3 linked regions of the Oryctolagus cuniculus genome follow. The protein of the gene in region 3 interacts with the protein of the main gene of each other region in a biochemical or structural test. Links are inferred from orthologs where the notes say so. Each region holds a gene or a part of one and is shown on either strand. Other genes may lie near its edges. The genes, in order: CSTA, CSTB and CTSB.

The links.
Region 1: the proteins of CTSB (region 3) and CSTA form a complex in vitro, tested with the Homo sapiens proteins (3 studies listed by BioGRID and IntAct, with this or other methods). The link is inferred for Oryctolagus cuniculus from reciprocal best matches to the Homo sapiens genes CTSB and CSTA.
Region 2: the proteins of CTSB (region 3) and CSTB form a complex in vitro, tested with the Homo sapiens proteins (2 studies listed by BioGRID). The link is inferred for Oryctolagus cuniculus from reciprocal best matches to the Homo sapiens genes CTSB and CSTB.

Annotation. Positions count from the first base shown.
Region 1 is NC_091435.1:78,535,660-78,539,403, reverse strand, and holds the start of CSTA (cystatin-A), read right to left. Parts: upstream 2,791-3,744; 5' UTR 2,553-2,790; intron 1-2,552. UniProt on the Homo sapiens protein: This is an intracellular thiol proteinase inhibitor. Has an important role in desmosome-mediated cell-cell adhesion in the lower levels of the epidermis.
Region 2 is NC_091435.1:2,393,700-2,397,443, reverse strand, and holds the start of CSTB (cystatin-B), read right to left. Parts: upstream 2,822-3,744; 5' UTR 2,730-2,821; coding exon 2,664-2,729; intron 542-2,663; coding exon 440-541; intron 1-439. UniProt on the Homo sapiens protein: This is an intracellular thiol proteinase inhibitor. Tightly binding reversible inhibitor of cathepsins L, H and B.
Region 3 is NC_091433.1:42,699,423-42,703,066, forward strand, and holds part of CTSB (cathepsin B), read left to right. Parts: intron 1-611; 5' UTR 612-636; coding exon 637-762; intron 763-1,194; coding exon 1,195-1,280; intron 1,281-2,145; coding exon 2,146-2,260; intron 2,261-3,439; coding exon 3,440-3,558; intron 3,559-3,644. UniProt on the Homo sapiens protein: Thiol protease which is believed to participate in intracellular degradation and turnover of proteins. Cleaves matrix extracellular phosphoglycoprotein MEPE. Involved in the solubilization of cross-linked TG/thyroglobulin in the thyroid follicle lumen.

The sequences.
Region 1 (3,744 bases), on a different chromosome or scaffold from region 3:
CGGTGCGTGGTGATTGCTGTCCCCACAGATGGGCTCTCACTGGGGAATTCTGAGGTGAGAATGAGCAGCAGCTCTCGTTGGATTGATATGTATGTTCAAATCTGGGTTGGCCTCAACTGGTGAGCAAAGTTTGCCTACAAGTCAGTCGTGTAGACCCTCTGAAATGCCGCTGTGTGGTGACCTCCAGGGCAGCCGTCAAAGCCCCCCCCCCCTTTTTTTTTGACAGGCAGAGTGGACAGTGAGAGAGAGAGAGACAGAGAGAAAGGTCTTCCTTTGCCGTTGGTTCACCCTCCAATGGCCACCACGGCCGGTGCGCTGCAGCCGGCGCACCGCGCTGATCCGATGGCAGGAGCCAGGTGCTTCTCCTGGTCTCCCATGGGGTGCAGGGCCCAAGCACTTGGGCCATCCTCCACTGCACTCCCTGGCCACAGCAGAGAGCTGGCCTGGAAGAGGGGCAACCGGGACAGAATCCGGCGCCCCGACTGGGACTAGAACCCGGTGTGCCGGCGCCGCAAGGTGGAGGATTAGCCTATTGAGCCACGGTGCCGGCCAAAGCCCTTTTAACTCGTGAGTCAGCTGTCTTGTCCAGGAAAAATCATAATTGGGTAATCTTATGGTTATTTACTGCTTAGCCCACCAGCTTTCCAATGGATCTATCTGCTCAGAGAGGAAGAGGAACACATGAAAAATGCCTCCTGGGGCTGGCGTTGGGGCACAGCAGGTTAAGCCACTATTTGTGATGCCAACAGCACAGATTGGAGCGCCAGTTCGAGTCCCAGCTACTTCCCTTCCAATCTAGCTCCCTGCTAACGCACCTGGGAAAGCAGCCAAGGATGGTCAAAGTGCTTGGGCCCCTACCATCCACTTGGGAGACCCAGAAGAACTTCTGGCTCCTGGCTTTGGCCTGGCCCAGTGCTGGCCATTGTGGCCATCTGAGGAGCAAACCAGTCGACAGAAGATCTCTGTCTCTTTGTCCCTCCCACCCTCTGTCACTCTACCTTTCAAATAAATAAAATGAGTCTTCAAAAATGCCTTTAATTACAGCACAGGAAGTGTCTGCACTGGGACCAACTCTGTCTGGAGAGCTGGAGAAAGAATCCGAGAAGAGGCACTTGGGGTGGGCCTTGGAGGAGCTTTTTAGCTCTTCTGTGATTCTCTGTTACTCAAATTTTTTTAAAAGAATTACAGCTTTACTGCAGTATAATTGACTTAAAATAAATTATATATTTAAAATGTTCAGTTGCATAACTCCTGACTTATATGTAAATGCAGACATACATAGATACCACAGTCATTCCCAAGTTTCTTCACTCCTTGTTGTAATCGCCAACTCCCCCTGCCCTGCCCTGGCCCGGGCTTCTCTACACCCTCCTTCCCCAAGGAAGCACTAATCTACTTACTATCATTAATCAAAAAGTTTACCATTTGAGAGGCACACACACACACACAGAGGGAGAGCGAATGACTCCATTCCGGGGGTTCACTCTGTAAATGCCCACAACAGCTGTAGCTGGAAACCGAGAGCTGGGAACTCTGTCCAGGTCTCCCACGTGGGAGGCAGGGACCCTAGTACTTGAGCCATCACCTGCTGCCTGCCAGGGTCTACACTGTTAGGAAAGAGGAGTCAGAAGCCAGAGTCTGGACTTGAACGCTGATGCGGGACACAGGTGTTAACTGGTGTCTTAACTGCCAGCCCAGGTGCCCGCTTCGCTCCGTGTTCTTTATATGAATGGCATCAAACAGTGTGGCCTCTCTTTGTGTGTGGCTTCTTTCACCTGACAGTTTTGAGGTTCGTCTATATTGTTGCAAGTATTAATACTATTGTTGAGTAGGATTTTGTTCAAGTGGTATCAGTATACCCCAGTGTATTTTTTCACCTGCTGATGAACATTTGGGTTGTTTTCAGTTTTTGGTTATTAAAGTAATGCTGTTATAAACGTTCCCAAACAAGTTTTTTTTTTAAGATTTATTTTATTTTTATTTTAAAGGCAGAGATAGACAGAGGTAGAGGCAGACACAGAGAGATCTTCCATCCACTGGTTCACTCCCCAGATGGCTGCAATGGCTGGGGCTGGGTCAGGCCAAAGCCAGGAGCCAGGAGGATTACAAAGCTCAGGCCCTCCCGGTCATCCTCAGAGCAGACCAGGGTCCTGCAGGGGACAGAGGAGCCAGCCTCTGAAGAGGGGCTGGGGCAGGTGTGGACTGAGGGCTCCAGTATCAGAGCTGTGACCAACGGGTGTCTGATCAGGCCCAGGCCTGCGCGGTGACTTTTGAAGAAGAGGAGGAGGAAGGCAAGGAGGGCTCCGTGGAGAGTAAGGGGCGTGCAGGTGTGCCAGCCGCTCTCCAGGGGTGTCTGCATGTTAGAAATACACACAAGAGCTTGCGAGGTGGTTGGTGGGTGGCTGCCTGTGGCCACTCGTAGGCATCCGGGGTCGGGGGCACTCCTGGGACTAGGATCTCTGCTCCAGCCAGTTTCTATACACAAGACCCCTGGACTCCAGTTTTATACAATCCCTCCACCCCCACATTCCCGCAGAGGTTTTCAAACGTACCTGGAGAGGCGCTGAAGGTTTCTCAGAGTTCCCCCGGCGGCCGGAGGTCAGAGGAAACGGGGAAGAGGAAAGAGCAGGTGGCCCCGGGGGCTCTGCCTCTGTCCTGCACTCCCACCACGTTGGCCCGGCCTCGCACAAACCGGCTGGGGGGAAGAGGAAAGCCTGCGTTTCCCAGAATTCCTGTAGAGGGCGCTCTCCGAGAATTTTCTCATCAGGCCCCTGCGGGTTGGAAACTGAAACCCCGTGACCAGGGTGTCTGCTGGCTTTCTGGCTTGGCAAAAGCAAAGTGTTTGTTTTGCCTTCAGAGGGCGGAGAGACTTGCAGCCGGGAAGGTGGTAGGAGGGCCAGGCTGGACTCCATGATGAGACCCGGCCCTGTGACCCCACAGCTGCAGGAATTTGGCAGAAGTCTCTGAATTCTGGGCCTACGGGGATGCTTGGTGAGGAGGGGCTTGATGCGCTCTGTCAGCGTTCCCTGCCTGGACTGACGTGGAGCAGAACGCGTACTGGAAGCCCTGAGGGTGAGCCCCGGGAGCAGAGCCAGCCCGTGGGGGCGGTGGAGGAGCAGGTGGCTCCAACCACTTCTGATTGGCTGGGCGTTCCTGGGTTCCCCCTTGGGTTACGCATGTTTTGGGATTCCAAGGGGAATTCTTTTCCTTCCTTTTAAAAAATTGAAGTATAGTTTATGTGTGGTAAAATGCGCAACTTTTAGGTGATCAGCTTAGTGCCTCATTTTTGCAGTTGTCCACCCATGCAATCAGTTGTAAATGTCTCCATCATTCCAGAAAATTCCCTCATGCCCCTTCTCATCCAGTGCCATCCACTCAACCACTAGTTTTGCCTGTTTTTATACTTCCTATAAGTGGAATCAGGTTGTGGTTTGGTTTCATTTACTCAGAATAATGTTTGAGATTCATCCGTGTTGTTAGATTTATCAGTACCCTGTTCTTTTTGTTATGTAGTATTCTTGTGTATGAATATAGCATGTTTGATTATTTAGCATCCTGTTGGGAGCATTGGATGTTTTGTTTGTTTTAGGTGATTTTGAATAAAACCACTGTGAAGTCGTTGCTCTTGGCCATATATCTGGGGATAGAAATTCTGGGACTTAGGGAAGGTGTGTGTTTAACATTGTTAGACATTGCCAAACAATTTCCAATAGGGTTGAGCCATTTTAAATGCCACCAACACAG
Region 2 (3,744 bases), on a different chromosome or scaffold from region 3:
CATGCCCCCATGCCCCCAGGAGCCGCCCGGCCCACGAACTCACGCGCCGAGCCTGCAGGAGCCGCTCGGCACACAATACCCACGCGCCCGCGCCCCCAGGAGCCGTCTGGCCCACGCCCCCATGTGCCCGCGCCCACACGAAGGTTTGTCAGGCCCTGGCAGCTGGGCTGGGTGCAGCCGCTGCGTCTGCCTTCCAGTGCAAAGTCCCTACACACCCCACACTCACTCCTGCCACACCCACTCTGACACTAGACTTGGGGGCAAGCACCCTTGGGCTGGGCAGCCACATGAGCCCCCATTCAACACCTCTGCCCTGGCCACAGGGCCACACCCCAGGGCCCGCACCCTCTCCTGGCCAGCCCTCCCGGCCCACACCCGCTCCTGGCCAGCCCTCGCGGCCCGCACCCGCTCCTGGCCTGCCCTCCCGGCCCACACCCACCTTGATGAAGTAGTTGGTCCCTGCGACCACCTGGCTCTTGAACGACATGGCCTTAAAGACGTCGAACTTGCAATTTTCCTTCTCTTCCAGCTGGGCTTTCACCTGGGGAGGGAGCGTGGGGAGGGCTCAGCGGCCCCCTCCGTGGGACCGCACGCCCGCGAGTGGACGGCCCATTCCGCCCCCGGAGGGACTGCAGAGGCTACGGCACTGCTCACTGCGGACAGCTGGCCGCGAAGCCTGTCACACTCACCACGTACACCGCCTTCTACGTTATTCTAATGTCATCTCGGACTTAATCTTCCACTTCACACATTACCTTGTTTTGGCTTTTTTTTCTTTTTTAAGTTTATTTGAAAAGCACAGTCATAGAGAGGAAGAGAGAGGTCTTCCATCTGCTGGTTCACTCCCCAAATGGCCACAAGCGCTGGGGCTGGGCCCGGTGGAAGCCAGGAGTCTGGAGCTCCATCCAGGTCTCCCATGTGGGTGCAGGGGCTCAAGGACTTGACCCCAACGGCCAAGTCCCTGCATCAGCAGGGAGCTGGATCAGAAGTGGAGCAGCCGGGACTCGAACCCAAGCTCATGAGGAGGCCAGCACCACAGGCAGCCGTTCAAGCTGCTGCACCGGGAAGCAGCCCCCCTTAGTTCTCGTAACCATTCCCTGGCTGTGTGCGTCCAGCTGGGGTAACCTGCAGTAACAGGTAAGGCAGCGCTGTGGCAGAGCGGGTAAAGCCAGCACCTGAGTGCCAGCATCCCATATGGGCGCCAGTTCGAGTCCCGGCTGCTCCACTCCTGATCCAGCTCTCTGCTGTGGCCTGGGAGAGCAGTGGATGATGGCCCAGTGCCTGGGCCCCTGCGCCCGCATGGGAGACCCGGGAAAGGCTCCTGGCTTCGGATCAGTGCAGCTCCAGCCGTCGCAACCATTTGGGGAGTGAACCATCCATGGAAGATTCTCTAACTGTGCCTTTCAAATAAGCAAACCAATCTTTCTAAAAACGCACTGTATCTGCACTGAGATGATCTCTAGCCCACAGCCCTCGCCTCGGGGGCGACATCGGAGTCCCGCGCGGTTCAGCCCTGGCTCCCAGGGTCGGCCTTCGCAGGTGAGCCTGGTGACCGGGGTGGGAAGAGGGAGTCCAGCTTTGCTTTTCCTTTAGACTTAAACCTGCAGTCCGATGCTGCTTGTCCAGCTCAACTGGGGGCCTCGGCCACGTGAGCTGTCCAGCGACACACAGTGGTCCCAGGGGATTAGCGGTGTCCACGGGAAAAACCAGACACGGCGGAGAGCGGGCCCCAGGGAGCACGCTGCACCAGAAACACGGAGGCCGGTGTAGCAGGCCAGGAGTGGCCAGGGCAATCTGATCCCAGGCACGGTCCCCTGCAGTGCCTCACCCTCGCTGGGGACAGCACGCCGGGGCAGGATGGCTGGAGAGCTGGGGGTGGGAGAAGGCCCTGTCCTCATGCTGGCTTCTTGCTGCACGGGGCCAGAGCCCGCCTCCCTCTCCACACAGGAGCTGTGCTGCACCTGTGGGACCCACAGGCCAGTGGCCAGCCCTCGGGGTGGGAGGGTGGCCACTGCCTCCCCGCCCACGCTGGAGTTTGCAAACGACGTGGGAAGGAAGGACTTGCAGGGGCCGAAAATGCCAGGGCTGGTCACTCGTGTGGAGGGCGGCTCCCGGCCGGACTTTGTCCAGGAAGCGCAGGTGAGCAGTCCGGGTGCCGGGTCAGGCTCAGGGACCCCGGCTTGGAACTGATACCCCGGGAGCAGCAAAGAGGGCTCACCCAGGGCACCCCCAGCCAGAGGACCTCACAGCTGCACCTGCCGCCCCGCGACCACAGGCCAGCGGCTCCTCCTAGGGGACCGGCAGCTGCCCACTCCCAGCGCAGGAAGAACCGACCCCACACTCGCGGGGAGAGAGGCAGGGGAGGGAGGCAGGGCTTCCGGGCCGTGGCCGGGGCCCGCGAATCGGGGCAGACTCCCCATAGTCAGAGGCCGGGGCGCCGACGCACCGCCCGGCCCTGTGGTCACCTGGGCGGCCCCACCTCCGCCGCCCGCGAGGGGCAGGGCCCGGGAGCGAGTGGGTCTGGGGTCCCTCTCCCGGCTGGCTCGAGGAGGCTGGGGCCGGCCGGCCACGGGATCCGAGTCGACCCCTGCTCCGTCTACACAGGCGCGGCGGCTCCGAGGCCTGCCCCTCGAAGCCCGGACACGCGCGTCCTCGCGGCTCACCTGGTCGGCGATGTCCTGGGTCTCGGCGGTGGCGGGCTGCGCGGGGGAAGGCGCTCCGCACATCATCGTGGCGACGCTGACAGCGAGCCGAGCCGCACCGCCAAGTATACCTGCGGCCCCTCCCGCCCGCGGGGCGCGGCGGTCACGTGACGCGCGGGCCGAACCACGGCGCGGCTCGGGGGAGTGCGGCCGCCGCGCGGTCCCGGCGCCCCCAGTCGCAGCCGCGCCGGCCGGGCCGAGCCGGAGCCAGGGCCGAGACCCGGTGCGGGAGGAGAACTTGGCCGTGCCCTCTGCCGCGGGTTCTGGCTCTGGAGTTGGGGCGGGGTATCCGGCAGGGAGCGTCCCCCCCACGCCGGGTTGGTGTCGCCCTGAGCCCGGCGGCCGAGTCACGAGGAGAGGGTGGGGGCGTGATTTCCCGAGGTGCCCCGCCCAGGAGGCGTGACGCTGCGGCCTGGCCGGGGTCGGGTGGGTGGGGGTCCTGGCTCCTGTACGAGTGTGGGAAACTCTGCGGGCACAGGTTCTTCGCTCTGCGGGGAGGGGCGGGCCCTGCCGGGGGCGGTGGCAGGTCCGGTCCCAGTGAGAGTGGGCTGGGCATGGGGGAGCCTGGAGGGTCCCGGCTGCGGTGGTGGGTGGGCCCAGCCAGCAGGACCCTGGGTGAGGCGATCTAGCGAGGCCTGGACCTTCGGGCCCCGTTGAGGGGTTCTGGCATGGGGACCCCGGCCGACCTGGGAGAGCTGGGCTGCAGTGGACATCGGTGGGTGATGGCGATACAGGGAAGGGCTGAGTGGGCCCGCAGAGGGGCGGGGTTCCGGTGCTGGCTGCAGGGGGAGGGAGGGGCCCCAACCCTGTCCGGGCAGGGGTGGGGTCTTGCTAGAATCCCCCCATCCCGTGCCTGAGGCCTTTCCCAGCCCCTGTCCTGGGCTCCCTGGCCCTCCTGGGAGTCAGGGTGGGTGTGGACAGGTGGCCTTCCGGCACCTGCTGGGCGCAGCCAGGCGGTGACTCCAGGGAGGGAAGGGTCATAAAAAGTGGTGAGCAAGGAGAAAGTGAGGCTGCTCTGCTGCCTTTTCTGGTCCTGCAGCTC
Region 3 (3,644 bases):
AAGGCCGAGGCAGTGATGTGATGACGTCTCAGAAGCCTCATCTCAAGCCGGAAGCGGAGCCCTTGGCTGACCGGAAAAGCCAGAGCAGATCCCAGAAGGCTGGTGCCACCCGCCAGACCTGCTCTGTGCCCCAGTCGGCACGAGGGCCGGCACTCCGGGGCCTGTGCGCGTTTTGTCGAGAACGGTGCACGCGTCTTACTTTCTCTCAGATTTCTCCTCCCCTAGGTCATGATCACACAGTTTCAGATCTCTCACTGGGGAAAAGTCTCAACCTTTGTTCTGCAGATCTGAAAATAGAGCAGGCCCTGGACTCAGTGTAGCTGCAGCACAGCCCAGGGCTTTCCCGCTCCTGGCTCCGGCACACCCGGCACAGACAGGGCTTTGCACGTGGCTCTGTGCACCAGGCACAGTTAGGGACTTTGCGTGGCCATGAGGCTGGGAGCCCATGGACATCCCTGGTCCTTGAGGGTTCTCTGCTCTTCAGTCACCTAGGGGGGAACGGGCAGGGGCGGGGCCAGGACAGGTGTGCGCCAAGACTGCGCCCTATGATCAGAGCAAGGGAGCCCAGTGGGGGAGAAGCAGCCTGATGTTTGCTGTTCCATCTTTGGCAGGTGCATCAAGGATCTGTCTTCCAGAATGTGGCGACTCCTATCCCCTCTCTGCTGCCTGCTGGCACTGACCAGTGCCTGGAGCGACTCCCATCTGCACCCGCTGTCGGATGAGCTGGTCAACTTCATCAACAAGCAGAACACGACGTGGCAGGTGGGCCGGGGGCTGCTCCCAGCCTGGGTCCGCTCCGCGGGTTTATCTGCACACGGATCCCCAGGAAAGAGACGCCTGCTGTGGCCACAGGACTATGTCCTGGGCAGTTGAAGCTCGGGACCGGGCCCTTGACCTCCCATCCTGAGCACTGTGTGTTGGGGGGCGTGTGTGTGTGCGTGTGCACGTGTGGGAGTAAGCAAGCCTCAGGAGTGTCCACAGCCAGGGAGGTCCCGTGCTGCTTCATCGGTACCAGCCCCTGTGTTCGGGGTTGGGAGGTTCTGTCTTCTTGCCAGCAAATGGTGGCGATGAGAGGTCCGAGGGTCACTCCAGCCATCCCCCAGCTGTGCAGGACCCCTGGCCTTCCCACGCCGGCTTTCAGAGGAGGCAGCACCCATCTGCTGCTGGGTGACTGAGAGGGTGGCTCTCTTCCAGGCCGGGCACAACTTCTTCAACGTGGAGGTGAGCTACCTCAAGAAGCTGTGCGGCACCTTCCTGGGAGGGCCCAAGCTGCCCCGCAGGTGAGTGCCCTGGGAGAGCCCCGGGGAGGGAAGCAGGAGAGGGAGAAGGCCCCCAGGCCTCGATGGCCCCCAGGGCTGCAGAGGCCATGTGAAGTAAGGGCTGCCCTGGGAAGCTGGATTGGCCCAGAGCAGAGCCCGGGGGGGGGGGGGGGGGGGCAGGTGTGACAGGGAGGTCCAGGTCTGCTGGAACTCAACCTTGGAAAATTTAAGGCGAAACCTAAGAAAAGCTACGTGATCTCCCGTTAATGCTTTTTTTCTAGCAAACTGCAGTGCACATTTTCACACAGATGCTACTCTTGAACAAGCATCAGGCGTCTCCCCAAGGCCGGGGTAGTTGAGTGAGGGGAGACCACACCGTCATCTGATGGTGGTACTTATGGTGATATATCAGGGACCTGGGCAGCTGTTTATGCCTGGGAGCAGGGGAAACAGGAAACCCTGTGTCTGAGACCCTTGAAACTCCCAGGTAGTAAGTCTAGAAGGAAGCAGACAATGCAGAGAGAGAGGTCTTCCATCCGCTGGTTCATTCCCCAGTTGGCCTCAATGGCCAGAGCTGCACTGATCCGAAGCCAGGAGCCAGGAGCCAGGAGCTTCTTCTGGGTCTCCCTCATGGGTGCCGGGGCCCAAGGACTTGGGCCATCCTCCACTGTTTCCCCAGGCCATAGCAGAGAGCTGGATCAGAAGAGGAGCAGCTGGGACTAGAACCGGCGTCCATATGGGATGCCTGCGCTTCAGGCCAGGGCTTTAACCTGCTGCGCCACAACGCCGGCCCCAGCCAGCTGCTCTTAAGCCAGGCAGCCTCTGCAGGGAGGCAGGGCACGAGCTATGAGATGAGGGCTTCTGATAAAGACCTTTCCTTCCCCAGAGTTGAGTTCGCTGATGACATAAAACTGCCTGAGAGCTTCGACGCGCGGGAACAGTGGCCGAACTGTCCAACCATCAAGGAGATCAGAGACCAGGGGTCCTGCGGCTCTTGCTGGGTAAGCCCCTGATGCCTGGGGCGGGCGTCGGGCACAGGGGGCGGGGTCAGTGATCCCGGGGTTAGGATCAGACCAGCCTGTGACAAGGCCAGCATGTAAGCTTTCAGCATCTCCGTTTCCATCCATTAAAAAAAATCATCAGGTGCCTCTGGTTGGTTGTGAGTTCTCGCCAGGATTAGGTGGTACGACGGATGGGCGAAGCATGCTGCACACCAGCAGTCCCGAGCGCCTGGGTTGTGTAGCTGGTTTCCTTGCTGTCACACGCTGGCTGGCCTGTCAGCAAGTACCAGTGCCTCTGACCGCTGCTCCGCTCCGTGAAAGTGCCCCATCTGTGCAACGCGCTATCTTGATTTTGTTTAATTGTGGCACGGGGTGGCCAAATGTAGCCATCAGAACCATTTGTTAAATGCACAGTCCGGTGGCCTTAAGTGCCTTTCCAGTGTTTTTTTTTTCTTTTTTTTTTTTTTAAGATTTATTTATTTATTTGAAAGGCAGAGTTACACAGAGGCAGTGGCAGAGACACAGAGAGAGAGAGGTCTTCCATCTGCTGGTTCACTCCCCAAATATGGCTGCAATGGCTAGAGATGGGCTGATCCAAAGCCAGGAGCCAGGAGCTTCTTCCGGGTCTCCCATGCAAGTGAAGGGGCCCAAGGACCTGGACCATCTTCCACTGTTTTCCCAGACTATTAGCAGAGAGCTGGATTGGAAGTGGGGCAGCCGGGACTCAAATCGGCACCCATATGGGATGCCGGCACTGCGGACGGCGGCTTTACCTGCTGCACCACAGCGCTGGCCCCAGCCTGCCCAGTGTTGAGTAACCATCTCCATGCCCAGCGACCCCTGCTCCCCAGGTCCCGGCAGGCCCCACTGTGGTTCCTGTTTCTGTGAGTTTGACAATGCCAGGGCTTCCTCTAAGTGAAAGCACATGGTGCTGGCCTTCTGCGTGAGCTGTGTTTTACGTTGGACACACAAGCTACTGTCTCGGAAACGAATGGAATTCCCTAGCGGAGGTTTAAGGTGGTCTCCTACGGTACAGCTGAGTCGGAGCCCACCTGCTCATCGGCAGATATACCAAGAGATGGGCCCCCCAAGAAGGTCTGCAGCCCCCCCAGGTGACAGCTGGAGCTGGCCACCGGCCAGGGAGGCGGCCTCCTCAGCCCATGGCGCTTGTTCCTACAGGCTTTCGGGGCCGTGGAAGCCATCTCCGACCGGATCTGCATCCACACCAACGGGCACGTGAATGTGGAGGTGTCGGCGGAGGACATGCTCACCTGCTGCGGCGGCCAGTGTGGAGACGGGTGAGTCCGCGGCGGGGCGCATAGGGTGCCTGGTGCAGGGAAGCGGTGCTCCGTCGAGTCAGAAGGCATGGGAGAGCCGGCAGGGC